Linked DNA regions of Elephas maximus indicus. The protein of the gene in region 4 interacts with the protein of the main gene of each other region in a biochemical or structural test. Links are inferred from orthologs where the notes say so. Each region holds a gene or a part of one and is shown on either strand. Other genes may lie near its edges.

Region 1 (7,755 bases), on a different chromosome or scaffold from region 4:
TGTGTTCTATACAGCAGCACAGCCCTGGCCTAGCCGGGGCAAATCTAGCTAATGTCAGTGATAAAGGAAAAGATTCCAGGCGATCAGGAAGTCTTTAGAGTATTTTAAAAGGTTATCCAGTCTGCGCACATGCAGAGAATTTCCAGTGCTTTAACATAGATGATAATTCATTTCTCAAACACTGTGTACGCAAGAGCTGCTGCTTGTTGGAAAACAATAACCCCCTACGCAAACGCCAGAAGGTGAGACTGACAGAGAAGATTCAGGATGCAGCTGTATAACGATTTGACCAAAACTTACCATCGAGCAAAATTCAAAGCCTGGAAACTGAGCATCAAAAAAACTGAAAACCAGGCCCACTGCTGCCCAGTCAATTCCGAATCATAGCAGCCCTACAGGACAGAGTAGAACTGCCCTGTAGGGTTTCCAAGGAGCAGCTGGTCAATGCCAACTGGTGACCTTTTTGGTTGGCAGCTAGCTCTTAACAGATAGGAAACTGAGCACAGCTATTTAAAATGCACCTTAGACATGCCTCACCCACCTAAAAAGTATGGGTTTCCCCCCTCGTGGACACAGGGCTTAAGGAGCAGTCAATTCTCCTATGGCAATTTGCCACCAGCTACATCCTGAATTCTGTGACAATCCAGTTCAGTGTTTACCCAGCAGCTAAGAAGCTCAGGCCCAGGTGCAGAGGAAGATGAGTAAGGCACCTCCACAAGCTTACAACTGGCTTCAAGTTCTGAATTCCAGCATGAAGCCGTCCTAAGACCACCATTAAGATTCTGCCACTTTCTTCAATCAAAACTACATCAAACCAACCTTGAGGAGAGAGAAATATCGAGGTGTGGTCACTTCTTCACAAACCGTGTTCACACCCACTCGTCAGAAAATCTGTCTCCAACAACATCTAAAAACCAATTTATCTATACCAAACCAGGAACCGTGGTGGCGCTATGGTTAAGCGCCTGGCTGCTAACCAAAGGTTGGTGGTTTGAACTCATCCAGCAGCTCCATGGGACAAAGACCTGGTAATCTGCTGCCATTAATGATGACAGCCAAGAAAACTCTATGGGGCAGTTTTCCTCTGTCACAAGGAGTCACCATGAGTAAAAATCAACTAGACAGCACCCAACAACAGACCCAAACATCCCACATTTCTTCTCCACGTTTACCACTGATTATCATGAACATTTATTTATATAAACCACGCACATGCTTGAATTCTCTTATTTGCCCTTTACCTAGGAACATTTGGCGAGTGAGTTACCAGTGTGTTCAGAGGCAAAGTTTACTTCTGTTCTGATAAATTAAAGCAGCCCCAGGTAAATTTCATTTTCACTTTTTTTCCTTCATTTCTTAAGACTGAGAAGTACTGTTTACAACTGTATCAAAAACAGTGGCACAAAGCACACCCCGAATTTTCATTCCTACACAAAATCTACTTCAAGAAGCCAGGGCTGTCCTGGGACTGGGGACTCTCCTACCTGTGGGTGGAAAGGGAGCCACCTGGCCAGAGTGCAGCTTCTTTATGGGTCAATGGAAGGAGACGGACTTGATGCTGGTAAGCCTTTCTTGCCCAGCACTGGGGTTTGCTCGCACTATGCAGAAGCCAACTGATTATGGAGAAGCCAACTGATGGGGTGAAAACTTGGCCGAATGGACCTTAAACCTCTTCGCAAAATAAACAAGCCAAATAAAGGGGAAACTGCCAAACCGAATTGTCTGAAGTGGCTGAGGCAGACTCCAGGTACATTACTGCTTTGACCCTGAAGCTGTTAAAGTGTTTATCTTAAGTCAGGTGTCTGACGTTCATCAGCCAGTGACCCCCAGCGTCCCCCGCAGACCTTCCACGGTGATCTTTATTGTCTACAAATTAAAGCGTTTTGCAAATTAAACCCCTCCATACAATATCCCCCAAAAACCAAGCTGGTGAGGGAGTTACAGTCAATGCCTTAGGAGTCACACACCAAATTCTTCGGAACCACTTCGTACTTAAATCGTCCTGAATAAGCCAGGAGAGCAAAGCTGTGATGAGAAACTTTGGTTCCGGTGGCTGTAACAGAATCAAGTAAATCTGGGACAGGACACGGCTGAATCCGCCACAAAAGCGCCCTTCGCCTAGGCGAGGACCTCTTTTATGCGATATGACAGCAGCTTTGTGCGGGGATTCATAAATAGTTCCAATAAGGACAGTAAGTTCTCTCGGCAAAGCTCGGCCTCCCACGTCCCCTGCGCAGGAGCCCTGCAATCCAGGGCTGTTCTTCCCGAGGACGCACGCGCCCCAGCGACCCCGGCCACCCCCACGGGCCTGCTGTGACCCCGAGGAGGACGCACGCCCACGCCCGGCCCCGAGCTTCGTCCCCGCAGCTGGCTCGGAGGCCGCTTACTCCCTGCCTGCCCGGGGCTCCCCAGCTCCCCGGGTCAGTCAGTCCCAGCTTCGCGGGGTCGACCGGCAGCCCCCGGCTCCCGCACCCTCCTGCCTGCCCACGGCCAGTGCCCACACTCCAGGAGTGTCGGCGGCGAAGGGGCCCGAGCCGGGCAGGCGAGAAGAAAGGTGAGGAGTTGCGAAGTGCGGCGCCCAGCCCTGCCCGACCCCAGGGGCAGACAGCGCGGGGCAGGGGGCGCCCCAGGCCGCGCGCGGCAGGGCCCGGGGACCCGGTGGAGAGGGCAGAGGGAACCCAGTCCCCCGAGTCCCTTTCCAGGCGCAGCCCCGCCCCGCGAGCCCCCGCCGCGCTCCCAACTCCACGGAACGGCCACAAGTTTGCGGCGGCCGCGGAGCCCCCGCGCCCCCGCGCCCCGAGCCCGTCCCGGCCGTGCTCCCCGGCGGCGGCGCTTACCTCGCGAAGGGGTTGGCCGGGCCGCCGCCCGCCGAGGGCAGAGAGGCAGCCGCGCGCGGCGCCGCCCGGAGGGCCGGGCGCGGGGGTCCCGGCGGTGGCCGCGCTCAGCACCCGGGAGACGCCGCTCTTTGTCTGCGCCGCTTCCCTCCTCGCGCCGCCGCCGGCCGCTCGCCCCCTCCCGCGGCCCGGCGTGCGCTGCCCCGGCCCGGCCGCCGCTGAGCCCTGTCGCCGCCTCGGCCCTGCCGCGTCCAGGCCCGGCCGTCCGCCCGCCCGTCTCGCCCGCTGCTCCGCGCCTCGCTCGCCCGCCGCGGCTCTCAGCCTGACGAAGCCCCGGCGGCGGCAACCCCTCCCCCGGCGCCCAGCTCCCGCCTCCTCCGCTCCTCTTCCTCCTCTGCGCCCTCCCTTCGCTGCCCTCTCCGCCTCCTCCTGCCGCTCCTCCCCCGGCCGCGCCTTGACGCCGTGCGGGGCGGCCGCAGGCCCCGGGTGCTTGGGGCGCCGGCCGCCGAGACCCACCTGGGGGCGCCCGGGCAGCACAGGGCGCGGCCACCTCCTCACAGGGTTCTCCCGGGCCCGCCCCGCCGCCCCGCGTGCGATCCGTGCCCGCACCCAGCCTCCGGCCGCCTCTCCGGGACCGGACACCGGGCAGGCTGTCGGGCCCGGCCGGGGGCCCTGTGGAAGATCGGCGGCCCAGGGCCTGGAACGCTTAAAAGAATAGCAGGGACGCAAGGGAATACTCAGCCTGGGTGGCGCGCGAGCCGCTTGGCGACGGGTAAATACTGGGAGAAACGCGGTACCATGTGCGGAGAGAAAAGAAAGTACCTTTACCGTTGGGAGTGAGGCACGAGAATGAACATAAGGCAGCAACTTCCAGCCTTAAATGACTGGTAGGGTCGTCTTTCCCATCCTTTTAGTTCGATTTTCTTATCAGTGCACTGTTTGGCCACTGTCCCCCTCCCGGAAGCGTCCCCAAGGCACTCTGCAAAGCAGGTCTGTTGTCCATCAGAAAAGTGACTTACATAAAAATGTCACTGCCTCCCAGTAATTGCTTTTGGATATTTTTGATTGTCTTGCATCTGTTTACACTCCTAACCAGACAAGTTTTTGCTCCATCATCCCTGTTGGAGGCACTTCCTAAGGGGAGGAGAGGAAACCCAAACTCTGCTGCCTCCCCTGCATCGTCACCAGCTCGAGCCAGTTGGATTCTGGTTGCACACTCACCCACGAGGACAGAACGCCATAAGGAGCTGCCTGACTGTGGGCCCAGAAGGAGTTGTCACTAGTGGGGGACTGGTTCACTCAGCACCAAGTTGCCGCTTACCTGTAAACAAACTTGGAAGCTTAAAACCCCGGAGGAAGAGCAAAGACAGAAGTTTCACTTTCGCAGGCACTTGCGTGCAGATGTCTGTTCTCCAGTCCCCTTCCCATATGGCTTCCCAAAGGAAACCTGAACATGCAAATAATCCTGATGTCCTAGTGGGATGGCATGTCTCCATGTTAAGATTTTTTCCTAGATTCTTGGCTTCTCCATTATTATTAAAGCAGTAATGATCTATCCAAAGTGACGGGGTAGTATTATTTGATTCACAAATCCCATCGCGTTCCCTAAAGGAAGTATCCAAGGATAGGTAACTAGAGTCAGTATGGTTTTGAAGTCAATTCAGTGACTGTTGGTTTCCCCAACTGTGTGACCTTGCACAAATTATCTCTTAACCTTTCTACGCCTCAGTTTCTTCCTCTGCAAGATGGGAATGTAATGTTAACCCACCTGACACAGTCCCTGGCAGTAGGTGGTGCCCATTAAGCAATCTCTGGTGGGAGGGGCTAGGGGAATCAGGACATCTTCATTCTTCTCTGCAGTGATGCTGGAAAAAAAGCGACCTCCATTCATCCTTTAAGGAAAGCCTGGTGGCAGAGTGATTAAGAGCTACAGCTGCTAATCAAAAGGTCATCAATTCGAATCCACCAGGCACTTCTTGGAAACTCTGTGGGGCAGTGTCCTGTGGGGTCACTATGAGTTGGAATCAACTTGATGGCAATGGGTTTGGTTTGGATTCATCCTTTTGTGAAAACCTTGTTTTACTAATATTTTGACTAGGAAGAAGGGCCTGGCAATCTACTTCCAAAAATCAGCCAATGGAAACTCTATATGGATCACGATGGCCCAATCACATTGTGCATGTGGTCACCATGAGTCGGATCTACTTGACAGCAGCTAACAACAACAACAGCTTTACAATAAGTAAAACAGAAGTCCAGTCATGGTCTGGCCCAGTTTTAAATGAACGTACTCAAAATAAGTATAATGATATCAACCTAGTTTTTACTTGTTTTGTAAACTTTGACTGAATCATGGATGTGTGAACTTCACCCAGTGTTTCCTCTTCTTCCTCTGGTAATTTCTTAAAGTCACCCACGGCGTTCTCTGTCTAAACCCAGTGGTCTTTTCCTCAAACGTCATCCTGTACAGTTTTCTGAAACGTGTCCTTTCTACTATATTTCAAACATGATCATCTTTTCATTTGTCTAAAATGACTAATTCTGATTCTCTTACATTTCTGCCCACCCATCTGTCTCTTTGTGGGGTATTTTGACTCCCCAACCTGTAACCGTAATATTCCCAAAGCTGACTTTGGCCTTTTGTTTTTATTCTGATTTTTTTTTTTTTAAGAGAGACAATGGTTTTTTATATCTTGCAAGCTGGACTTTCAGCCAATAACTCCTAGCTCTGTAGCCTTAGATACCTCCTCAGCCCTGATCTCTTACCTACACTCCAATGCCTTACTATCAGCGGCCCAGAAGACCTCTCCTGTAGGCCACTCGTTGTCTCATCAAAGTCAGCATGTTCAGAGTGAACTCATCACTTTTCCGAGTTAGCTCCTTCTCCCACCATCTCTCAGGCTTGCCCAGGAGTGCACCATGCACCTTGGCTCCCAAGGTAGAAAGCTCATGCTGCCAGGACTTTTTCATCCCCACTGTTTTAGCTCTCCCCAAGGAAAGTAAGGAGGCGGCACTAGAGGACATTAAGATCGCTTTCGGTCTAAACTCCTGTGATTCTGAGTCCTGTTGATTCTTAAACATCTCTTTGATAGTACCTTTCTATTTCCAATGCCACCATCCTAATATTTATATCATTAACAATAATTGTAATGTGTATTTATTGAATTCCTTACATATATTATCTCTAACTCACATACAATATTATCCCCATTTTACAGATGAAAAAATTGAAAAAGTAAGTGCCAGAGCTGGGAACAGAACCCTCATGTTCTTGACTCTAAGTCTCTTGTTCTTTCCTCTTGTACCCACTACCTTCCAACTCGCCTCCCATACCTCACTTCCTCCCATCCCCCAGATTTACATGGAATATCAATGTCTTCCTAGCCGGCTTCTCTCTTGCCCCTCCCCTTGCACAAAAGCCTCTCATGGCACCTGCACTAAGCAAGTGGCGCTGGGCAGATCCTGCCTTCATCGTTAACTGCAAGGTACGGATCAACTGGCAGAGGCAGAACTGGGGTATGGCTGGTATGGCAGGTATTGTACCACCTGTGGGTGCTTGGCACCACTGAAAGTTTCTATTAACCCATCACGACCAGCGGCTACCTACAGAAAATGGCGCCCCTGCCCAAACATCTGACACCTTTCTTTTAAATAACTCTATTATAATAAAAACCAAAACCAAACCCATTGCCATTGAGTCGACTGACTCACGGTGGCTCAATCAGCTCAAAAATACAAGTCAAGTTTGTTCATCTTTTAATTAACACGTTACTGTGCTTGAGGAGGAAACCCTGGTGGCATGGTGGTTAAGTGCCACAGCTGCTAATCAAAGAGTCAGCAGTTTGAATCCGCCAGGTGCTCCTTGGAAACTCTATGGGGCAGTTCTACTCTGTCCTATAGGGTCACTAGGAGTCGGAATCAACTCGACGGCACTGGGTTTGGGTTTGGGTGCTTGAGGAAGTACGTTGGGCCGTACCGAGTTAACAGAAACTGTCCAGTGGCTCCATGCACCCAGGACCAGGGCGATACCCTAGACATGCCACCGGCATCAACAAGAGTCCGATTCCCAAAGTGTGGGGACGGATTCAGTCCTTAACTTCCCACTTCTCCATTCTTGTCACCAGCCACTCACAGGCATACCCTCCCACGCTAGCCACCCAGAGCTGCGTCAGAGCCCACAAGTTACACGGATACCATATTTCAGACCAGCTATCCATGCAGCATTACTGGGCCCTACCCACCTAGTGCTAGGTCATGGGTCAGACCTCACACATTAGAAGGACACCTTCTTTCAGATTGCCAAATAGGCAGACAGAAGCCCGCCTGGCTCTCGGCTGCCCCATGGGTTCATCAATTCACTGGAGTGACTCAGCAAATCTCCTGGAGAGTGCACCATACTTAACAGCTACAACTCTATTACAACCAAAAAGGATACAAATGAAGAGACACACAGGATGAGGCCTGGGATGGGTCACAGCACAGAGCTTCCACGTCCCAAAGAACACACTAGTCTCTGGTACATGGTCACAAGCCAGGAAGCACCTCTGAGCCTTGGGCCTTTATCAGCCTCACCACGTGGCTGTGGTAGATTACATCATGCCTGTGAGGCTTAGGCAGCATTGGGCACTCAGGTGATCCCTCTTGGTCAGATCAGCCCCCATTCATCAGCCTCAGGTGTTGGTACAGCTATGAAAAACAGAACAAAGGCCAAATTGCTTTCTGTAAGGTGACCGCACACCTCAAGCTCCCAGTTTCCCACCGCAGTCTGCTGAAACTCCTCTAATCACACAAGGGGTGAGCATTTGCTCCAAGGAAGACTGGGCAATCTAGCCCTAAGAAGCCTACATTGGTTTCCCTGGGCCGATACAAACTGCATGGCTTAAAACCACAAAACTTATTCTCAGTCACAATCTGGAGGTCA
Region 2 (7,751 bases), on a different chromosome or scaffold from region 4:
TCAGGGAGGAATGCTTTCACCATACTTATTTAATATGTATGCTACACAAATAACCCGAGAAGCCCGACTATATGAAGAAGAATGTGGCATCAGGATTTGAGGAAGACTAATTAACAACCCGTGATATGCAGATGACACAACTTTGCTTGCTGAAAGTGAAGAGGACTTCAGTATGGATTACACCTCAACATAAAACAAAAACCTCACAACCGGACCAATAATCAACATCTTAGTAAATGGAGAAACCACTGACATTGTGAAGGATTTCATTTTACTTTGATCCACAATCAACACCCATGGGAACAGCAGTCCAGAAATCAAACGATGCATTGCATTGGGCAAACCTGCTACAAAAGACATCTATAAAGTGTTAAAAAACAAAGAGATCACTTTGAGAAGTAAGGTGCACCTGACCCAAGTCATGGTGTTTTTAATTGCCTAATATGCATGTGAAAGGTGGACAATGAATAAGGAAGACCAAAGAAGAACTGATACTTTGAATTATGGTGTTGGTGAAGAATACTGAATATACCATGGTCTGCCAGAAGAATGAACAAATATGTCTTGGAAGAAATACAGCCAGAATATTCCTTAGAAGCGAGGATGATGGATGAGACTTCCTCTGACATACTTTGGACACGTTATTGGAAGGGACCAGTTCCTGAAGAAGAACATCATGCTTGGGAAAGTAGAGGGTCAATGAAAAAGAGGAAGATCCCCAACAAGGTGGACTGACACAGTGGCTGCAATGATATGCTCAAGCATAGTAAGGATTGTGAGGATGGCACAGGACTGGACGGTGTTTCATTCTTTTGTACGTAGGGTCACTTTGAGTCAGAACCGACTTGATGACACCTAAGAACAACGGTGCTTCTTGACTTCTTTTGAATGTAACCGTACTCTGGTCTGAGATTGATCTTCTCCAAACACCACTATGATGAAAAATTTGATTTTAGGTAACCAACTCTTTACAAGGGGTTGAAAAAAGGAGAAAAGAAGAATTATCACCCCAAACCTTTTCTTTCCTCCTGCTACTTTTGTCTCTCTAATGCTTCTGCATAGCTGCTCAGCTGGTTTGGGGAAATGATAGAGGGACCCTTTTAAAAGCACCTGGCCTTATACCCCGGTACTTTTTTTTCTGATGGGAGCTGTGTGTATTCCATGGAATGATTAAAGCCTTAAGGCATCTCCTTAAGAAGTACGGCTTATCTCTATTAGGCAGTAATTCCTTTCCTGAGTTCAACCTTTGGGAAGAAGAATCCTAAAGGATTCCTTTGCTTTTTGCAAAGAATCATTTAGAGAATAACAATGGAGAAGATCAAGCTAATCATTACACAATCGGTTAATCATTACACAATCACAGTTAGGAAGGCTTGTTTAGGGTGGGGCTTTAGTTCTTTTAATCATGATTGAAAAGTGAAGTCCATTTTAGTTCAGGGTCTTGAGGGAGAAATTTCATAAGAAACTAATCTGTAAAGCATGGAGCAGGAATGCCTGGTTATAAAAAAGAACAACTACACGATTTGGCTGTATCTGTATGTGCTGTTCATATGAGTTAGAAGTAAGTGGTCAGCGATGAATAGCAAAGATGAGTCATATACCCTGATTATATAGCTGTCATTTCACCATTTTCTATGAGTACAGATGCAGAATCACTGCTGAAGGTACAGTTCTCGAAGAACCAATTGCCTACTTTATAAAGGGATTATGAAAGAAATATTTGACAAAACATAGATAACTATTGACGAGTGTATCCTGGCTTCCACCCTTGAAGAACAGTGTTTTGGGGCTCATTCTTATATTATGAGTAAGCAACACTTATTTAACAATCAACAGGGAGTCATTTTATTGTCTCTAATCGTTTTTTTTTTTTTTTAATCGTATACTTCATACATTATTCCAAGGAATGAAACCACATTTCCCTCTCCTACATACTCAGCCTCAGCATGTATTATTTCCATTTCCCTCCCATCAAATCTGCTTTTGGGAAATAATCTGATGAATTAGATCTAAATAACTAATAAGGCTTAAAATATTACATTTTCCAGGATTATGATTTTGTGCCAGAGGATGAAACTACTCAAAGGGAAAAAACCCCAATGGCAGAATTTCAGGTGAGCTGAAGGAGGGCTTTTGGGTTATAGGGACTTCTGTAGCCTGAATGATGGTTAGCCAGGTTGGTCCTGAGTATGAGTTCAAGTAAAAAATGACTAGGACAGGGCAGGTCTTAGCCTAGGGATGTGGTCTAGTTCTACTTATTTAGGTTTGCAGTGGTGGTGGTGGTTAGGTTTACTTTGGACACCCCAAGATTTAAAGGGCTCTTGAATCAACCTGGGAAACCCTGGCAGCTTAGTGGTTAAGAGTTCGGGTGCTAACCAAAAGGTTGGCAGTTTGAATCCACCAGCTACTCTTTGGAAACCCTATGGAGCCGTTCTATTCTGTCCTATAGGGTTGCTATGAGTCGGAAATGACTTGAAGGCAACAGGTTTTGGTTGAATCAACTTGAGACTAGATTTAGCATTCTAATTCCAAGATCCAGCTGGTCTCTGGTATGGGAGATTCTTCACCCTGGAATGATTTAGGGGACTGATCCTTTCAGTTCATAGCTAGAACATCCGGCTCTGTTCAGACTCACAGGAGATTTTGGAAGTGAGGAAGAAATCTTTTCTCATGAGGATTTAAAAATTGATCATATAATATGCTAACTTTAAATTTTATACAATGGCTAAGATTCTTATTCATATAAAATGGATACCTCGCTTGGCATATATGGTTGCTGTTTCCTATTCTAGTTACAACACTCTTACTTCCAGTTAAGCACTGAATAAGCCTGAACAATCTGGTATTGATATTATTAGTAAATCTTCAACTTCTGCTCTACATTAAGGAACTAATACCAAAACCAAACCCGTTGCCGTCGGAGTAGAACTGCCCCATACAGTTTCCGAGGAGCGGATGGTGGATTCGAACTGCCGACTTTTTGGTTAGCAGCCCAGCTCTTAACTACTAGCCACCAGAGCTCCTATACCCGTTGGCGTCAAGTCGATTCCGACTCATAGCAACCTATAACGGCTCCTTTACCAGGGTTAATTCCAGCAATGGGGGGTTAGAGGTGGGAGGTGGGGTTAGTTAAAATGCTCCCGCCCCTAGTAGAATGTCCTGAGTATCTTTAGGGTTATTTCAAGTGCTTTTCACAAGTATACAACTCACTTTGGTAAATGATTCTTTGATGGTTTTTAATGAACTCCTCCCGTTGGATGCGCGCCAAAAATCATCTGCAGGGTATTCAACTCTTTATTCATACTTGGTAATAAATAATTATCTCTGTAACGCAGACGGAAGAACTGAACCAGTGACTTCAGGGACCCAGAGACTAATTACCATCACTGTACACAGTTAAGCACAGCGGGGGTAGGGGGTGGGGTGTGTGGTTTGCTCAGTATCTTTTCTTCTCCGGGTAAAACAAAGCCGTCTTGCCTGTTAAGGTATCTAAAGCAGCAACTGCAAAAAACAGTGCGATGTTATGGTTGAGGATTTCTGTGCCATATGTGTTGACACAATCCTTAAAAATCTCTCTCCGCAATAAACGCAAACCCTGCCAGGCTGAATTATTAGGGCCAACGCAATTCACTGCACCACCAAAACCGCTGGGGTTGGAAGCCTACGTCGCATTCGGAGTATATCCAATGTTTCTTCAAACAAAGGCACTATCTTGAGGCAATTTCGCGGGCCATTTTCCTCCTTCCAGCGCCAGCTTTGTCTCCCTGCCGGTGTGAGGCTGAGAACTGGAGGAGCCCCAGCTGGGTGGCTGTGGGAGCAAGCTCCGAGCAAGGGCCAGCGTGGGAAGCTTCACCGAAATGCCGCTGTGGTTTCCTGCAACCTGAGCGTGCCATTAGCGGAAGTTGGAGTGCTGCAGTTGAAAGAGATACCTGCAGCCTTCAAATCGGGGTTGGACTTGGACAACCTCTCCGCACCGATTACTGTCGTACAAAGAAACTCAGTCAGCTGGGGCGGCGGAGGCCTGTGGGCTCTCGGTCTCCGGGGCTCAGCGCGGCGCTGCGAGGAGCCGGTCAGGGTCCGCGTCTGCACCGCCACTCCCCTCGGACCGCTCAGGAGCGGGTGTGTGCGGGGTCGTGGGGCGGGCTGGGGAGAGGCAGATAGGCCTCCCCGGGGCCCTTCGCCGCGCAGCGACTCACTTGCTAACCCTCGGCCGCCGACAGCCCCTCCCCCACGGCCCCGCTGCCCCTCGCCCGCCGCCCCCCGGCGCCGTCGACGTCGGCCGCCCGCCCCCGCGAGCAGCCACTGGCTCGCGCCGACCTCCAGCCCGGCTGTTGGCGGTTGGGGCGAAGACGGCGGGAGGCCGCCCCGCCCCCGCCGCGCGCTGCTGCTTCCACCTCGCCGGGGCGGTGGCGCTGTTGCTGTCGCGGCCTGTGAGGCAGTAACTCCTCTCCACCCCAGCCCCTTCCTCCTCCTTTCTCTCCTCTCCCTCCCTCCCCTCCCCTCCCCTCTCCTCGCTGTCCCTAGCTCGAGTGAATGTGGCGCGGCAGCGCGGGACGCAGCCTCGGCGCCTGCCGCGGCCCCACGAGCTCGTGAGGAGACGCCGCCGGCTGTCCCCTCCCCCTGCGCTTCTTGGGGGAGCCACAGCCGCTGGGGAAGAAGAGCGCTGAGGGGAGCGAAGGGACGGCGGCGGGAAAACCGGGGAGGGAGCAGAAGAGGGTCCGAGGACGGGGAAGGGAAGGCGGGGAGGGACGGACGGAAGGACGGACAGCCCGACGGACGGCCCGGGGAGGGGTCCGCCAGCGAGTCTCCCCGGCCCCTCGGTTCCGGCTCCGGGCGGCGGCAGCAGCGCGGGCGAAGGGCGCGGCAGGCGCTATCGAGACAATAACCCCGCCGCCCGGCTCTGGGGGCGGCGGCAGCGAAGAGGAGGTGGCGGCCTAGTGCGGCCGAGGCTCGCCGAGCACCTCGGCGGCGTCTAGTACCGCGTCGGCCGGGTTCCGCCTCCGTCGGGTGTACGGGGCGCCCGGGGCCCGAGCCCCAGGCTCCCCGCGGACGCCCCCTCCCCGGAGTGCGGGGAGCTGGTTTTCCGGGTTCCCCTGGACGGAGCTGGATCCTGCTTCTCGCCGAGGCAGGAAGTGAGTTTCGCACGGTAATTCCGGGCGTGTCACGAGTGAGAAGTCTCCCCCCCCTGCGGAGAGCCTACTTGGGGCTGGGAAACTCCTGCAAAACTCGAGACCCGGAAACCAGCCCGCATCCCAACCCCCACCAAAGCAACCTACTCTTCTTACTGCGGGAGGCCGCTCCACATCCGCTCTCACCGGAGGGAGAAATTCGACTGGATCCAAAGTGACTCATGAAGGAAAGGAAATCATGTCAGGCGAAGCCTTGAAAAAGCTGCCCTGAGACACTGCCCGACCGAAAGGTAATTTTCACGAAAAGTGTCTAGAAGTCACAAAGTTCGTGGGCCAGGAAAGACTTTAGTGTTTCTCACTTTTCCGCAAAGTTGCCCTAAATTCTCTTGTAATATCGAATATAGTTTAGTTGTTACATAGTACTGAGGTTCCCCCCCCCCCCCACTTTTTTCCCCTCTACCATCTAGGCTCTGGTTATTTTAAAAGATTTTAAGAATGCGGTGGGACGAAAAGTTCTCTGCAGTCCGAAGAAAGAGTGCCTTTGTTTAGCACAAGGTGCAGAAGTTTTACTTTTCCTGAACATATACAATGTATATTTTTTTTATTAAGTTGCTGAGTCTGGCAACTCTTGTTTTGGAAGAAAGGTCGCTGCAGCGAGTGGTTCGCTTTTAAGAGATGGCAGCCACATTTGTTCATACTGTTACCGATTATTTTGGTTAATTATATACAGAGACTTTGTAGTTCAAGCCCTTATAAATATATTGGAGCTTATTAACAAAAACAAAAAAGCGTTGCCATTCTTAATCGTTTTTCTGGGCGGGTAATATATTTCTTTAGGTAATAACTTGTTCCTTTCAGACGTTTAGAACCTTATAATACTTATTTCGTTAATTGAAAGCAAGTATCTGTTAGATTTTTCCTGTAACTGTCCTAGTAGGAAGAAAAAGGAGGGGGTAGGGGTTATGGATGAAGAGAGGTATACTTAAAAAAAAAAACAAAAAACAACGCACCTGTAACTGGTTTGATTTGCGTGCCAGGACTTCTTTGCAACTGAGAACCGAATGTGTAGGAAGAGAAGTAAAAGGACTTTCGTGGAAGTCACATTGATTTTGATACAAAGCAGTACTTTTTGAATAGTGCAGTATTTACATTTTTGTATTGCCACAAATGTTTTTACCAGGTTCTGCTTAATGCCAGGTACCTACTGAGGGGGAGAGATTCATGAAGCATGGCAGACGTTCCACCAGTCAGAGTTATGAACACTTCTGAACCAATGGGTTGTCTTCTTAGATAAAACTAGTTTTGGTTGCCGGAAACCCGGATTGTTTTTTCAGTGGTGTTTTACTGTGTCTGTGTTTTGAAGTTTAGCTTTTCCCGGTACTTTTGTGGTAAAGGGGGGTGAAGATAATATACTGTGCTTTTGAATAAATATTGGATAAATACAGTATTCCGTTGGTAGGTGTATCTTTATAAATTTATGTTTTGCTTGCCCATGAGACCTCAAGTAGTTACCGGAAACCTGAGGAAAAAGTTGCCTTTCTTTAGTTCAAAGAAGAGGTGATCTTAAAAATCAGAATCAAGTATTTCACAGCTTGTTCTTTGTTACTTTACTAACCACATTTCAAAAAGTGAATCTTTTAATTTTTAGTATGTATCGTTTTAATATTTTCCCAGAGCCTAGTCTCTAGACCTGTGTGTGTTTGTGAACCACCAAGCAATTATTATTACGTCAAACTAGCTTTATCAAGGAGTTTAAAATGCATTACTGATTTACTTTGTGATTTTGGAATGTATGGTTAGGCAGTGGAAGAGGTTATTCTTGGGCATCTGAAAGAGCGGAACAAAATAAATGACATTGAACTTCAGTTTCCTTATATGGCTTATACTTGGCCTCAGAGTACCAAAGTCTTAATAGAGCAAATCTTTTACAGAGACTTAACTTTGTGAAGATGTTTCTCTATATTAGTAAATTTTATTTAAAAAAAAAATTGTAGCACCTAAATATTTAAAACCGGTTATAAGCTATAGTTCTTGACTTTTTTTCATTGTTGAGGGAATAGTAGTATGTTTAGATGCAGGCAACACATTTTTAAAAGTGAGGTGCTCACCTTTGTATCTGTGTTTGGGTCCTTTTTTTCCCCCTCAGCAAGGTGTAATTTGTGGTTCACTTAGAATTCTATGAGTTTAGTGTTGAATTTTAGGTTTATGAATGAATTTTAGGTTTTAATCTTGTCAAACAATAAATATTTTAAACTCTTTTTTAAAAATATAGTGACAAAGGTTTGAAAAGATACTTGTTTTAGAGAGACAATCAGTTCAAGTATTTTAAATGGCTTCAAAAATTTGGATATTCTTAGTATCGTGGGTTTTCTTGGATTAAATTAGCAAATATAGAGTACTTCCAAAGTGTTTTGCTTATATTGCACAAAATACATATTTAATGGCTGTTTGTTGAAGGTAATCATGTTTTCATTAGTGATGTATTTAACTCATCCGTCAACTAATCATTTCAAGTAGTAAGATACGAAGTCAGCCTGCTGCTTGTGATCAAGCTATTGGAAATTTTCCACATATGAAAGTTTGTGGAGGCTCAAATATGGAAACCAAATTTTTATTGCATGG
Region 3 (7,272 bases), on a different chromosome or scaffold from region 4:
GGGGGCTCAGCTAAGATGCATGTTTGGCTGGACAAGCCAGGACTCTGGGAGGATGCCCTTGTTGAAGTCTGCCAATGTCTTCGGTCCTAGGAGACCCAGAACTCTCTTAGCCGGGGAGTCTTCAGGGAGAGGCTCCAGGTATCGGTTTGGGTTGCTCAGCATCTGCCTGTGGTCAGCAGTTTGTGCACCTGGAATGGGACAAGAACCTCATGCTTCTGAGGGATCATCAGACTGGGCATCCCTCCCAAGCAGAGCCAGGCCAAGGAAGAAGGCCCAGGGCTCTTTGAGCTCTGTGTCACAGGAGCTATGGGTGCAGGGTTCTTGGAGCTCCCAGCTCACATCTGCAGACTCTGTGGTTCTCACAACCACTCGTTTCCTCTGACGGCATCACAGACCATTGAGGAGCCACCTTCCCCAAGTTCCTGTTTCTGAGGGAGAAGCTGCTGCCTTGTCATGATCCTGGAGCAAGAGGTTTTTCTCTGGCTTTGTCGTTTGGTCTTGTCCAAGGAACATAGAACCGAGGTAGAATGGAACGCAGAGTTTGAGCAAGGTTTCCCATACTTGCCTGAGCATAATAATCACCTGAAGGGCTTGCTAATATTAGAGATTCCTGGAATCCTCCCACACCTTCTGAATCTAAGTCTCCAGAGGAGCCTAGGCATCTAAATTTTCAGCACTCCAAGAGAGTCCTCTGATTGGCAACCTTTAATGTATAAAGGGAGCACTTGGGAATCTGGTTAAAATGCAGATTCTGATTCAGTAGGTTTGGGGTGGAGTTCAACATTCTGCATTTTAAGCTTCCTGGGGATGCCAGTATTTTGGTCTGTGACCACACTTTGAGTAGCAAGATTTGGACAGTGGTTCTCAGTGTAGTTCCCAGATTAGCAGCCTTAGCATCACCTAAGGATTTGTTAGACATGCATTCTCAGGCCCCACTCCAAATACGGTGAATCAGAAACAGATGGTGGGGCCCAGGGATGTTTTCACAAGCCCTTCAGGCAACTCTGATGCATGCCCAAGTTTGAGAATCGCTAATCTAGGATAAGGAGCCCTCGTGGCGCAGTGGTTAAGCAGCTGCTAACCAATGGGTTAGTGGTTTGAACCCATCAGCTACTCCACCAGAGAAAGGTATGGAAGTCTGCTTCTGTAAAGATTACAGCCTTGGAAACCTTGTGGCAGTTTTACTCTATCCTATAGGGTCGCTGAGTCAGAACAGACTCACTGGCAATGGATAATCTAGGATAAAGAATCTGTCTTTGAGTGCTGTGCTACCTTCCCTCTCCACTTCATTAAAATTTAAAGAACCATACCCACTTGCTGCCTCCCCTTTAGGGGGCCAAGTATTCCTGGAGACAGATACTCTTTAACACAACATGGGTCCATTGCACTGAAATGGCTCCTGACTCTGGTTCAGACTTCTCAGCCTTTTCTGGTGGTTTTTACCAGTTAGAGCACCCTCTAGCTCAGGTTCTCAATGTTTCTGCTGGTCCCTCAGTCTCTGCCTTTCTCCTGGGGAAGATTGGTTTGAAATTTAACTTCACAGACAGATGGCACACAGAGCTGGAAGAGGCAAGTGTAGGCACATTCTCTGTAACAAAGTTCTAATCAGATGTCAGAATGGATGACAGCTACTCAAGGATGTGGCCCTTGGCAGGGAGGATAGTGAGCACGGGCCCAGACAACTGCTCTTGCCTCCATACCACTGATGCCGCCATTCTTATCTGAAGGCAGGCTTTTAAGACTAGCCTCAAGGTGAAGTCCATGAGTGAGGTAGGAAGTAGGGAAGGATCATCTCTCAGTTCTTCTTAAAAGAATTCGACCATATTGGTCCCTTTCCACTTAAGGAGGCACCTAAGGATTAGAAAGAGAAGTTTACAATCCTTGATCTGCCACTAATTAATTTTGTGACTATATATAAATTAACTCTGGGCCTGTCTTCCTATCTATAAAATGGGAATAGCATGTATCTCATTGGATCAATAAAAGGAAGCTTACAGGAAGGTGCTAAGTGCCTGGTATATAGTAGGTACTCAATAAAAGGCCAAATAAAACATGAAAATGTGATAAGATGATTTTTAGAAGAATAGGAAACTAACTTTTCAAGCTAGATGCCTTGACCAAATTGCTTAAGTTTCCTCAGCCATTGTGTCTGTAAAATAGACACCGCCCACTTTGCAGGGTCGACACGAGAGCTGGATACAAGGTATGTGGGGGAGCTTGGTACAGTCATCTTATGTACCTACCTGAGTTCACTTGGCCACCTCCTTGCTTCTCATGAAGCAGGCACTTGATTTTTTTTTTTTTTGTTACTGAACAGGAAGAGGGAAAATGAAAATAAGATGAATGAGTAAGGTAAGGGCCTAACTACAGGGACAAGTCTAAGGTGGGAAAGCAGGCCACCATCCATTCCACATGGGGCTCAGAAGGTTAAAGCAATGTGGATTTTTAGAGCAGTTGTGGCCATCAGAGCAACTCCAGCTTCAGAACCGTGCAGAGCACTGGCTGGGTAATCTCTGTCTGTTCACGTGCATTTGTTTCATCCTCTCTATCAGAACAGGCAGGGTCCATGTCATTTCATGCGTATCTACAGTGGATACAGCAACCTGGATGGACTTACGGTAGCACAAGGATTACTTACACCCCGTGTCATTCAAAAGTGATTTGAGATAATGGGCTCATAAAATTATTCTTGGTGGGTACAAAGATAGCCATTTCTTAAGAAATATAGCCTGGTTTCTTAGAGGAACCCAGACAAGTGGTTGCAGATTATTACACAAGGGATGGAGACGAGCAATCCTGCAGACATGGTGGAGCTGAGATATGGAAAGCCTTTCCAAGACTCCACCTTCTTTTTCACAAACAGAACAGTTGGACTTCTCACGATTTTTGGTTTGAGGGGAATATAGGCATGTCAGATGGACCTGGGGTTCAATCCTGGCTTGGCTTACTGGCTGTGTGACCTTGGGCAAATTATTTATCCTATCTTCATTTCCTTACTGTAAATGGACAGTTTTGTTGGGTAGAGTAAGTGATCACGTGAAAATGCCCAACATGGAGCCAGCATACAGTAACTCAGTCTCTCCCTGAGCTCCAATAAGTGGCTTGAAAGAAATAACACCAGTGATCAGGTAACAATGAGACATATACAGCTTTATTTAATAATCTGTTAAAAAGTCACACTCTGACAGAATGACACATTCCCTATCTCAGCAGAAAGCAAACAATGTGTCTGAAAAGTCCCTTCCCAAGATTCAGACCTGTGTAACCCTGAGCTTACATCTGATGCTCTCAGGAGCTGGGCCCTTGCTGTGTGGCAGATGGTCTCTGCATGGTTCTATCACCCTCCTCCCAGCGATATTCTCTGGCTAGCTGTGACCCTTCACATAGCAGTGGACAGGAGGCTGAAAACATGGACAGGGTTGCCCTTACAGATTGGTCCCTTCTCTCCTACTACAAAAGGGAGTTCAAGAGATTAAGAATCCTTCTCAGAAATGAGTTCGATATAAATTTGGCTTCTATTCATTAAACATGATATTATGTTAATGTCTGCCCCTCTCCTCCACCCATTTTGTCATCACCTACATAATATTTAGGCCGTACCTGTCCCTCTTTTGGGGACCGAGGGATGGAAAAAAGCTCTCTCTCCATTACAGACATGGGACGCATTTCTTATGAATGCTTTGTGTAGTAGTGGCATCCGACATGCAGTGACAGACGTTTTGTTCCTGCAGAGCCAAGACCTGGCATTTTGTTTTCCACCTTTCTGTGCTAAGAGAGTCCAGTAATTAAGCCACACTCACACCTTGGGAAAACTCCACATTGTATCAAAATCTTATTTTTCATGGACTTCCAGCAGAATATATCCTTCCTTTTATGTATAGAATAGTATTTTGTGAGTTCATTTGGAGAGAAAGGGGTGACTGGTCACCCTGCCCACCTCTCTATGTAATAAAACCAAAAAAACCCGTCGCCACCGAGTTGAATCCAACTCATAGCGACCCTATAGGACAGAGTAGAACTGCCCAGTAGAGTTTCCAAGGAGCACCTGGTGGATTTCAACTGCCGACCTTTTGGTTAGCAGCCGTAGCACTTAACCACTATGCCACCAGGGTTTCCCTCTATATTATAGGCACCCTCTTATTGGTCACAATCAATCAGAGGTCCAAACAGTAATTGTGACCTTCCACATTTCTCAGAATTTCCCCTTTCTGAAGTCACTTTGCAAATCTTATTGAACAACTTGGAACCAAAAGAGAATGCACTGGCCTACACAACAGAGAAATCTGTTCTGCACATTTCCCCTAAAAACATCATTGAAAATGCAAAAAAAGTCCCTTTTTTTGTTTTTTGCAGAAGCTCTACAAGAAAGCGTGTCTAAAATCACAGGACTATGTACACACAAACACAGAGATGTGTGCTCGCACACACACGGAGTTGGGATCAAAGAATCTTATCGGAGCGCAGGACAAAGCTGGAAAGAGAAGATACAGAGATTTGACCCGCTAAAGATGTTGGAATGTTATAGTAATGGCATGGACGTAGTTCTTGATACATACAAAAAAGGGGGTAGGCGGGCAGAGAGAATGATCAATTCAGGCTACCAGAGAGAGAGGGATTCAGTGGCCATGCATGAGTTAAAAATGGTAGATGCCAGTTTGCTGGATGAAATGTTGTATTATGGAGTGATCAGATGGATCTGCGTGGTCCAAGGGAGGGGCATCTGCTTAGCAGGACACCTCCATGGTCTCCTGTTTGTCTGGGTCCTCAGAGGACTCAGGGACTCCTTGAGTTCCATCTGATTGATTGCTGATGAGAGACCGGCTGTAGGGACTTTCTCCAGAGCTCAGGCTACTCGAGGTTGAATGGGTTCGTGACCGGGCAAGTCGAGTCATGCTGGCAGATGGTACTGTAAGAAAGAACCAAGAGGACTAGAAGGTGGAGCCCTGGTTAAGCTCAGCTAAATCAGTAAGTTTCACCAAAGGCTTTATGTTCAGGTTTCCCAATCCATTTAAGGTGACACCCAGGGACAAGATATAGCCATCCCCACTCTGCACTATTTGCTCTAGGTGAGTGGTTATATGCAAGGTTGCTTTAATCCTTTGGATCTGGCTGGAATCTCCCTAATTCTAGTCCACAGCAGAACAAGGGGAAACCCTAAGCCCAGAGTATAGCCTCTTAGCTGCACCCACACTATTCATACAGTTATTAGGGAGGAGGTTTTGGGAATCCTAATAGGTAACCAAAACCTGTAGTGCATGCAAGACTAAACCAAAGAAAAGAAAGACAAACTACGTAAGTATGAAGGTGTTTCACAAACAGCGCAAGCCCGATACAACGAGACTACCATCCATGACCACAGACTCCCCTTACTGTCTGGGGAGGAAACATGGAGGGAAGGTGAGGGTGTAAGGAAGGGCAGATGGGCTTGGAGCTGACCTCTGCACAGGGAGTGAGGTAAGGTTGCCCAGGAGGGAAAAGGACTGGGGATAGGTGTTTAACCAGATTTCTGTTCTGCCACTGCTTTGACTCGAAGGTCCTTCCAGCTTGGACAGGACAGGGCCTTACCTGGCATAACTTCCCTGCCTAGCCTCCTGAGGGACCAGCCACTATCCAAGCTGTCACTTCAAGGGAGGGGTCAAAAGATGCCATCACCTGCAGAGTTCTCTGGCACAGGCTCTGACACTCCTATTTTAAAGTTAAGGCTGCCCTACAATCTCTGGGCCTGGGTGTTAACTCAAGGATCAATAGGCGGTGGTAGAAGAGGGGTCATGTCTAAAAGCTATGAAGTTTCAGCTTCTGCTGTGATCCTGGATTTGGGATGAGAGGCCTTATAGCCCTCTCCTTTCTTCCTCCTGGGGGGCTCGGGATAGACCTGCAGGCTAACCTTCAAGCACAATGAGCCACGTTCTATCGGGCTCTCACTGCACGGGAAACCGCGGACATGCTGCAAGCAGCCAGTGCAGCCAGGAGGGTGTATGGCTGGGAGGCAGGGGCAGGGCCAGCACAGAGGATGGTACCTGACTCGGTGCTCAGGTGACTGAGCTGCACATACGGGACTGGAAGCAGGATGGACACAGGAAAAGGCAGGTTAGTGACCCGAGAGTGCCAAGTGGCAACCTGGGCTGCCTAATAGACACTGACAGAATACCCTAAGCCAGGGGTGAAATTTTATTTTAAGGTTCTAGAGAGGTGCTGAGGTTGAATAGCATCTCAGATGCTACTTCTCTCAACCAGTCAAGGGCAATTGTTTTCCCACCCACTATGAAAAGTCATCTTGCTTTGGATCATAAATAGGCTGGAAGACAAGCTGTTTTCTAGAAAAAGAAATGGAGAATGGGCTAGAAGAGGGAATTCTGCTAGAAGTGGATGTAGGCTCAGTTTTTAGGAGCTCACAGACGAGGACTACACAGCCACTCCAGACAAGACATACACAGTCTGCCTGCTAAGTGCCAGGCTACATCCAGGTGCCCAGCTATTGCCCAGGGCAGCTGATAGGCAGCTCACCATGGCTACTATCCACACTAATACCAAACACACGGGGGAAAAAAAAATCACTCTACTGGGTAAAGAGCTTTGTACCCGGATGGAAAGATTTTCCTTTTTAAAACTCCAAGAAAGGAGCAAGTGTGGATATTCTGTGCCAACTGAGAAAGCTCAGGAGTCACACAATACAATTGACCAGGACAGTGGAATATAAGGCAGACACATGCTTTGGACTTTATTCTAAAATACTCTGCAAGTTCACCTTCTGTGGTGGAGCAGACTTAACTGAGAACATTACCCTTTTCTTTTGCAGTCTCTATTTTGTTTCCCTAGGCCAGGAGTAATTAATCAGCTGATTAATATATTAATAAATTATGTGGCACTAGTTTTTTTTTGTTTGTTTGTTTCCCTAGGCCAGGAGTAATTAATCAGCTGATTAATATATTAATAAATTATGAAATCATAATTTCATATTCAAAGCTAGGACAGCCTCAGCTTTAGTGGATGAAAATGCGGCCTCTGGAGCCAGACTGCTAGGGTGTGAAACATGGCTGTGCAGCGTACATGTTCCACCGGGAAATTTGCTTAACCTCTTTGAGCTTTAGTTTCCTCTTTTATAAAATGAGACTAATAATAGAACTTACCTCTTAATGTTATTGTTAGGATTAAGTGATACAATGAATATATACTGCCTGGCCCAGGTAACTGTTAAGGTAAGTGTTAGTTCATTTTATATACAAGCACAAGATGAATGGTCTATAAATGTTCTGGTTTTAACTTGACTTAAGG
Region 4 (7,939 bases):
TGGAAATTTTACAGAGGCTTAAAAAATTCATTTTTTTTTTTTTTTTTCTTAATGAATACAAGTTTCCATGATGACAAAGTACTTAGGGATGATAGAGTTAGGATTTTAAAAAATCTCCTGAAAACTTGACCTTTTACATATTTGTAGCTACTGGACCTCTTGAAATGAAAATTTAGGAAGGACACAGTCTTTTTTATTCAATCGTGAGGTAATGGGGTTGTTATTGACTACCCTTTTTTGAGCCGGAAAAGGCAAGTTGACAATGTTTCAGAGTAGTTAGCATTCCTTGGTTAAAATAAACAAAAACAGAAGTCAATAGTTTTACAGTTTGGGTTAGGCTTTTACTCCTAATTTTGGTATCACTGGTAAGAGAGAACCCCCTTGAAATCAAAGTAAGAAGTCTTTTTATATTTTTTTGACATAATGTAATCATCTAAAACTGGAGTGTCCTCCAAAGCCAGGGCTTCACCACTGCCGTCGTTTTATGCTTCTGGAAACTGCCTAGTTTTCTCCTCCCAAAACCAAAAATCAGAGGCAAGAGTGACCTCATTTACACTCTCATGGCCTGCACTTCAGCGTGAAGGAGGATATGCTTGGAGTTCTGAAGGGCCAAGGGAAGTGGGAAGACTCAGGGCTGCTGGAACAAGAAACCTAGGAGAGGGGTGGCTCAATGGGGGCTTTCAAGGGACAAGTGTGGGGCTTGGAGGGGGTCACTGTCCCCACACCAAATCCTAAAACCCTGTGACCTGGAACCATCCAGTCCAACTCATATTTCAGTCAGCAAAGTGAGGCCTTATCCAAGGCCACACAGCTAAGCTACTGTTAGAAGAGAGACCCACAGATAAACTAAGAGCACATGTTAAATGAGAACACACACAGACACTGACACACAGAAATTAGCACCATGACAACTTTGTATGCACAGGCCAGGATAGAAGTCACTCATTCCTTCATGTATATGCATTAAAGCGAGGTGAGGCGGAGGACAGAGAGGGCTTTTTCTGAAAAGCACCCTGAGGACAGAAAGGGTCCTTGGGCCTGCATTCCCGAGAGAGATGTGGGTGAGAGGGGCTGAGGGAGGCAAACAGCATGACCAGGGCCAGTGGGTCTGGCAAGTTTGGGCTCTGCCTTTTCTCTAACCCTGGGCCCAGGCCTCCCACACGATTAGGCTACAAGTATTCATACATGGCCACCTATAGTAAGGATGGATTTTCTTTTTTTTTTTTTTAAGGCTGGATTTTCTTATCAGAAGCTTCTAAGTTATTCTTCTGTGGCCCCAGGGAGGCCTTGTGTGTACTCTCAGGGGACTCTTTCTAAGTAACTGATTCACACAAACACTTGCCCAGGAATCCATGCCCCAGGCCGGAGGTTCTGTGGGGCAGGCCCCAATTTGTGGCCTGGACCTCGGACTGTGGACCGTACCCTCCCTTCTTCTGTTTGTTTTCAGTTCTCTGACCCCAGGCTGGCTGGTGAGGTAGGCAAAGGGGAGGAGACTCCGGTGCCAACACAGACAAACACACTCACAAACACACAGCTTCATGTGCTCCCCAGTTTCAGTGACCAGTCAATGATTGACTGGCATTTCACAGGCCGCTTGTTCCAGACCCCGACCTGTTGACCCTTGGAGGTCACCTTTGTGAGGCAGAGCCCTGTCTTGCCTCTTCAGTGGCAATGGTCACGTCTGCTGCCCATGGATCTAGTACCTATCACTCAAAGAGCTCATGCATCTGCCCCCCGGCTCTCAGTTTGCTCCCCTCTGTCCCATGGTCACCATTCCTCTGTACCCCAGCCTCCCTCTCCCTAGGCCCCTCACTAAGCCTTTCTCCTGGACTCTCATGCTCCTCCAACAATCCCGCCCCTGCTCCTCAGCCCTCTCTTCCCCCCTGAAACTCCCCCTCTCGTTCTTTGTCCCTCATACATCCTCTTTCCTTGGCTCTCCTGCCAGGCCCTGCTGGAGGGACAGTGAGGGGAGAATCGAATCAGCAGCGCCCACCCCTGCCCCCCTTCCTCTCCTCTTGTCAAGCAGCAGACAAGGTTTTTTCCCCTTCCTTCCCGGCTCTGAATAGGCTCATTCTCTTTGAGAGATTGGGCCCCTCTCGAGCCTCCTCCCCGGGGCGTGAGTTCTGACCCCAGCTCCTCCCCCATCCCCTCTCCTGCCCCCACTCCCTGGCTCCGGCCTTTCTCTGCAGCCCACTAGGACAGAGCTTTGTCTCCCTGGGACCCGGGATGCCGAGAGGATGGGCTTGCTGTGGAGGGGGAGGCAGGATCTTTGCGGAGGGAAGGGCTGGTAGTTACCCAGGCTTCTCTTCTCAGAGGGGTCTCCTCTAGCTCCCGTGCAGGGGCCTGGGGAGAAGGTGGGTTCAGGGAACCCACCATTCAGGGCTCTTGAAGCTGACAGTCCAAGCCAAAGCCACCGTGGTTCTACAGATGAAGTTCACCTCCCAGCTCTGCTTGTGACCTTGGACAAGTTTCTTCACCTCGAGGAATCCTGGGGTTTCTCTTTTGTAAAAGGGAACTGATCATACCAGTCTCCTCTGGTGCCTCAAGGATTCAGTGACACGAGGACTGTGGCTCTAGTACAGAGAGTCACAGCTTTCCTGACTGGATGAGCCCTTCTTTACTCTGGGGGAGAAGGGACACCTCTAACTCTGGCCCCAACCTTGACCCTAACAACCTGATGGGTTCTGGATGCCATATGTGCTCTCACCCAGGTGCAAGCCCTTGATATGGGATCAGCAAATGACTCTTGGAGCCAAGTCAGCAGCTCCTCCCTAAAGGACTGAGAGGCTGCGAGGCTGAGAGGCACACTGACTAGCCTCTGGGCTGTATGATGGGGTGGAGGTGAGAGGCTGGTTTTGCTGATTGTTCCACTTTTCCCCAGTTAGCCCTAAGACACTCCTGAACAAATAGTTAACTCCTTAGAGCCTTAGTTTCCTTAACCCTAACTCCAGAGAAAATAAGAATTTGGATGACCATCTTGAAGGGCTGCTGTATCCCCGTGCACAGCAAGGTTTCTTGAACATCTGTTACTATCATCCAAGGAATAAATCCATTTTATATCACCATCTGGGACACACACAAAAGGGCACCTACCCTTACTACGTGTGATGCTCTTATATTTTCTATTCTGTTTTAGTTATAAAAAAAAAAAAAAAAAAACTAATCTTGATATGATAGTCTCAATTGGTTTCACAACCATCTAATGGATCCTGTTTTTTTTCTTGGAGGTTTCCTGTATTCCTTTTCTTGGAGCCCTAGTGGCACAGTGGTTAAAGCACTTGGCTACTAACCGAAAGGTCAATGGTTTGAACCCACCAGAAAGATGTGGCAGTCTGCTTCCGTAAAGATTTACAGCCTTGGAAAGCCTATGGGGGCAGTTCTACTCTGTCCTATAGGGTCGCTATGAGTTAGAAACAACTCTGTGGCAACTGATATGGTATTCCCTTTCTTAAAGAGGGTGTCCCAAAACTTATAAGCTTCAGGCCCCCACAAAACCTGTATCTGCCCCAGTATAACTACCAAAACCCGTTGCTGTCCAGTTGATTCTGACTCATAGCTTCCCTATAGGACAAATTAGAACTGCCCCATAGGGTTTCCAAGGAGTGGCTGGTGGTTTTGAACTTCCGACCTCTTAGTTAGCAGCCTGAGTTCTTACTGTGCCACCAGGGCTCCAGTATAACCACAGTTGGGACTATTTATTGAGCAATTACTGTGTGCCAAGTATGGTGCTAAGTGCTTCAGGAACATTATTTCATTTAACCACTAGCACAACATGCCAGATGCTATTACAGACCCTATTTCACAGATGAGAAGACTGAGACCCAGATAGACTCAGTCTCTTGCCCAAGATCACATAGCTGATATGTGGCAGAGTGGAGAGATTTGAACTCAGGTCATTTCTGATTCCAGAGCCCCTGATGCTGTCACCACCCCCTACCTCCACCTCCTCCTGTAGAAGTGTCTGCTTATAAAGGTGCCTGGCACATGGGAGCAGTTTAAGAAATGCTACTGTCTTTCATTCTCTACCCCCTGGTAGGTGCCTCTGACCCTCTCTTGACCAGCACAGGCTTTGCTCTTGGCTGGGGCATTCCAATTAGATTTGTCAGATTTAGCAAATAAAAATAAGGATACCCAGTTAAATTTTTAATTCAGGTAAACAACGAATAATTTGTTAGTATAAGTGTGTCCTGTGCATTCTTCTGTTGGAATTTCCAGCAAAAACATGCCTTCCTTCTATCCTCATCCCCACCCCACCCCCACACCACAGGGCCTGAGGAACAGGGTCAGGGGCTCCTGGTGGAATGCAGGGTGGGGAGACGGAAATGAATGAAATAGTAAACTGCAAGGGGCAGAGAAGAAACCTTGAATGAATTAGGTGCTGGATGCCCCCATAAAGAAACAAAAGGGATGTTCTTCCAAGGATGGGGAGGTGGTCCCACCAATTTGAACGTCTCTCCCCCACCCCCATTGGTGGACCCCCTTAGGACCATGCTTTTCAGGCTGGGGAAGATACCCAAAAGATTTGAAAAGGTATCCCAGGGAGTCCCGGAAGCCACAAGTTAAATACAACACACTCCCCTCCTTGACTGTCAATTTTACTTGAGGATGTAGTGGGAAAACCATTATTTGATATTAAAACAAACAGCCCTGTGATGTGTAGGGCGCAAACTCGTCAGGAATGTTTAAGATAAAACGGGCGACTTAAAAGTGTTAAGGATGGCAGGCGGCCCCTAAAGAAGTTGCCCCAGACTCGCCGAGCGGGGAGAGTCACTGCTTTTAGGGGTTCTCCAAGGAAGCGTTTGAGAACTGCTACAGGGAACCCAGGCGTCCCAGCCCTGGGAGAGACGCTCACAGGCCTGCGCGGAGAGAGGGAGAAAGTGAAGCCGGGCCACTCCCCGAGACTTGCTGGAATGCAGTCGGAGGGGGTGGGGGGGCGAGCTGCGAGCGCGCTTGCTCCCAATCACAGGAGGACGAGGAGGAGGAGGAGGAGAACGGCTGCCTTGAGGAAGTACAGAATGAAGTTGTGGAGCTGAAACTCCCCTCGATCGTAGCAGGAGGGACGAGAAGCACCCCAAGGCCACCGCCCGCCCCTCCCAGGGTGCCAGCCCGGCGCCCAGCGCCCACCCTTCGCCTCGCCGCGCCCGGCACCCTCGCAGCCTGGTCCAGCCGGAGCCATGGGGCCGGAGCCACAGTGAACACCATGAAACTGGCGGCCTGGTGCCGCTGGGGGCTCCTCTTCGCCCTCCTGCCCCCCGGAGCTGCGGGCACCCAAGGTAGGTCTGGGGTGGGGAGGGCATGGAACAGCGACGGAGACCCTGCAGCCTGGGTAGCCGCAGAAAGCGGGGACCGGCGGGCGGGGCAGAAGGGCCCGCGAGCTCTCCGGACCCGAGCTTGGGGACAGTCGGCCGCTCCGAGCAGCTGGGCACTCGGGCAGGGAGGGGGCAAAAGAAGATGGGCCAGGGGGCAGTTACCGAAGCAGCTCTAGAAGTTCCATTCAAGAGACTGGCTCCGAGAACTTGTCAAAAGTTCTCGGAAATTATTTAGAAAGTTTCCATGAAAGGGCAGATTGCGCGGTGAAGAGCATGTGTGTTTCCCCCCTCTTGAGCCCTCTCAAGCTTTCTCAAAGCTTTTCCAGTTGGCAGCCTCCGCCCCCAGACTGGACTGGACTGGATTCCTTTGGGGGGTCCCCTCCGCCCTGTCCCTCTCCGCCCCCTTCAGTAACTAGGATTTGGTTACTCCAGCTCCAGGCAGGGTCGGTGTGTGGAGGGGGGAGGTGGGGACAGCAACCTGTTCAGCCAGAGCCGGGAGGAGAGGGCGGCGGGTCTGGCTGCAGAGTTGCCTCATACTGGGGTCTGGGCTTGTGGGGAGGGCGAGAGGGTTGTTTTGAACAAGTTTCTTTAGGGCCAGCTTGGGGACTGGGTGTTTTATGACTCTCGAAGAACACAGGGGATGGTGGAGTGGTGGTGGCGGGCTTCGGGTTCTGGGGCATAAAGGAGGAGAGTTTCAAGGAAGGGTTTCCAGAACAGTCTGGACCCGGTGGTAAGAAATGGGGCCAGGTTGGGGAATGCAGAAGGCTGGGCTGTGGAGCTGCCTTTTCCTTCATGCTGTGTGGGAAAGGGAGATGGGGGCAGTGTGTGTCCTGAGAGGGGCATCTATCTTCCTCTGTAGGCAATAATGCTGAAAGTCAAGGTATACCGGACGCATACTGGGTGCTAAGCACTAGGTATGGCATTTTCCATGCATTCATTCCTTCCTTTAATCCTCAGGACCCTATAAGGGAAGTCCCACTAGTATTACTATTTTCCAGGTGAAGACCTGGCATTAATGAGGTTTAAGTAACAACCAGTGATGGCGGGCTCAGGTTGGACCCCAGGCAGTCCCATCTCTAACTACACATGTGAAATCACCGTATTAATCTGCCTTGAACAAGGGAAACACTGCACCCTGCTTGCCGGAGTTGTGGGGAAAACCAAATGAGTGTTCCGAAAGTAGTGGGTGGTCCCCATAGGCCACGGAGCCAAGGGGTGGTGGTGTCATAGTGCCTGAGCGTTGCCAGAGGGTCAGCGTACTGCTGTGCTGAGAGTGTCAGCGTGCGTGTCTGAGGCTGCGTGTCTGGCAGGGTGTTGTTGAGTTGTGTGGTCTGGTGTGTGTCTGGGCTTTGTGTTGCCAAACAGCAATCTCCCTGCTGACTTGGGCACTTGGCTGAACTCTGCCCTCTGAAGGAACTCAAGGTGCCGGGCCAGATCGGCCGTAAACAGCGGAGGTGGCCCCACGCCTTCTCTCTGAGGAAGGAGGCTCCCCTTTCCTAGGGAGCCAATCCTTCCCCTCCCTGTTTCCTAGGCGGGCGTCCTTGCCCCTGGTGCTCTGATGAGAAGGGTGAGGCTAGGCTGGGCTGTCACGCAGGAGGGACTGGGCTGCTTCAGAGCTGGGTTGTGAAGGGTGGTGGGACTGCTGTTCACCAGGGCTTCCTCAGCCCTCATCCTGCATTGCTGGGTACAGAGAGAGAAGCTGGGTGTGTTGTGCAGGGAGTGGTTAAAACAGCACACCACCCAGCTGCCTCCAACACTCCTGTTATATGTCAGGGCTCAGGGCAGGGGCAGGAATGTGGGGGGAGGGGGATGTGGGGGAAGACCCAGAGGGTCAGGATTTTACTGAGACCCTTTCTTAGAGGTCAACGTTTTGTAAATTGCAGCAAACTCGTTCTTTTTATCATGCAGAGCTCATATTTACTCCCAGTATGATTCTCCCAATAGCTTTCTCCTTTTACTATACTTGAGGATTTAGGAAAAGTAACCTTATTTTAATATTCAAGGGGAAAAAAATGGAAAAGATAGGCTCACGTGTAAAAAGAGAACAAATTCTACATTCCAAAGTCATGTTCTCTTGGTTTGAGATTTCCCATATTTCTGCTGTATTAATGTCTCTTGCCTCAACTTCCTACGTTCCGAGTTCTTACGCACAGTTTCATTTAATCTTTGCAACAATCCCGTGAAGTAGGTGCACAGGTGAGAAAACTGAAGTTCAGAGAAGTGAAGCGACTTATCCAAGACTCCCCAGCTAGCCAGTAATGTCCAAGGCATTTTGACTCCTCTAAGGAGACCTCAAGAGTTAGTCAAAGTCTTAATTCCATTCAACAGGAATGGGTTGAGCAAAGCCCCAGTTTAGGGGCAAACATGTGCCCAGAAGGGATAGAAACACTACTCAGATTTTTAGGTGAATGACTTTTCCATTCATTTAACTAGGTTATAGAAAGTAGAGCTGTCTTCCCCAACCCAGTGGGGACCCTCCTGGCCTGAGAGTCCTCTCTCTCCCTGTCTAGCTCATGCCTGCCTTCCTCTCGGGCCCTCCCAGCATGGCAGGGGACTGAGGGCAGGATGGGAGCAGAGGCCACTGGGACACGCATGGCTATGGGCAGAGGGAGACATGGAGTGGAAGCATG

Evidence for each region.
Region 1: the proteins of ERBB2 (region 4) and NCK2 form a complex in vitro, tested with the Homo sapiens proteins (2 studies listed by BioGRID and IntAct, with this or other methods). The link is inferred for Elephas maximus indicus from reciprocal best matches to the Homo sapiens genes ERBB2 and NCK2.
Region 2: the proteins of ERBB2 (region 4) and ERBIN form a complex in vitro, tested with the Homo sapiens proteins (4 studies listed by BioGRID and IntAct, with this or other methods). The link is inferred for Elephas maximus indicus from reciprocal best matches to the Homo sapiens genes ERBB2 and ERBIN.
Region 3: the proteins of ERBB2 (region 4) and SLA2 form a complex in vitro, tested with the Homo sapiens proteins (2 studies listed by BioGRID and IntAct, with this or other methods). The link is inferred for Elephas maximus indicus from reciprocal best matches to the Homo sapiens genes ERBB2 and SLA2.

The regions. Positions count from the first base shown.
Region 1 is NC_064835.1:79,826,069-79,833,823, forward strand, and holds the start of NCK2 (cytoplasmic protein NCK2), read right to left. Parts: upstream 3,009-7,755; 5' UTR 2,838-3,008; intron 1-2,837. UniProt on the Homo sapiens protein: Adapter protein which associates with tyrosine-phosphorylated growth factor receptors or their cellular substrates. Maintains low levels of EIF2S1 phosphorylation by promoting its dephosphorylation by PP1.
Region 2 is NC_064820.1:70,759,984-70,767,734, forward strand, and holds the start of ERBIN (erbin), read left to right. Parts: upstream 1-4,737; 5' UTR 4,738-5,419; intron 5,420-7,751. UniProt on the Homo sapiens protein: Acts as an adapter for the receptor ERBB2, in epithelia. By binding the unphosphorylated 'Tyr-1248' of receptor ERBB2, it may contribute to stabilize this unphosphorylated state.
Region 3 is NC_064843.1:32,882,719-32,889,990, reverse strand, and holds the start of SLA2 (src-like-adapter 2), read right to left. Parts: upstream 3,012-7,272; 5' UTR 1-3,011. Other genes in the region: protein NDRG3, read right to left, coding at 4,725-4,906. UniProt on the Homo sapiens protein: Adapter protein, which negatively regulates T-cell receptor (TCR) signaling. Inhibits T-cell antigen-receptor induced activation of nuclear factor of activated T-cells.
Region 4 is NC_064837.1:46,995,358-47,003,296, forward strand, and holds the start of ERBB2 (receptor tyrosine-protein kinase erbB-2), read left to right. Parts: upstream 1-4,939; 5' UTR 4,940-5,200; coding exon 5,201-5,273; intron 5,274-7,939. UniProt on the Homo sapiens protein: Protein tyrosine kinase that is part of several cell surface receptor complexes, but that apparently needs a coreceptor for ligand binding. Essential component of a neuregulin-receptor complex, although neuregulins do not interact with it alone.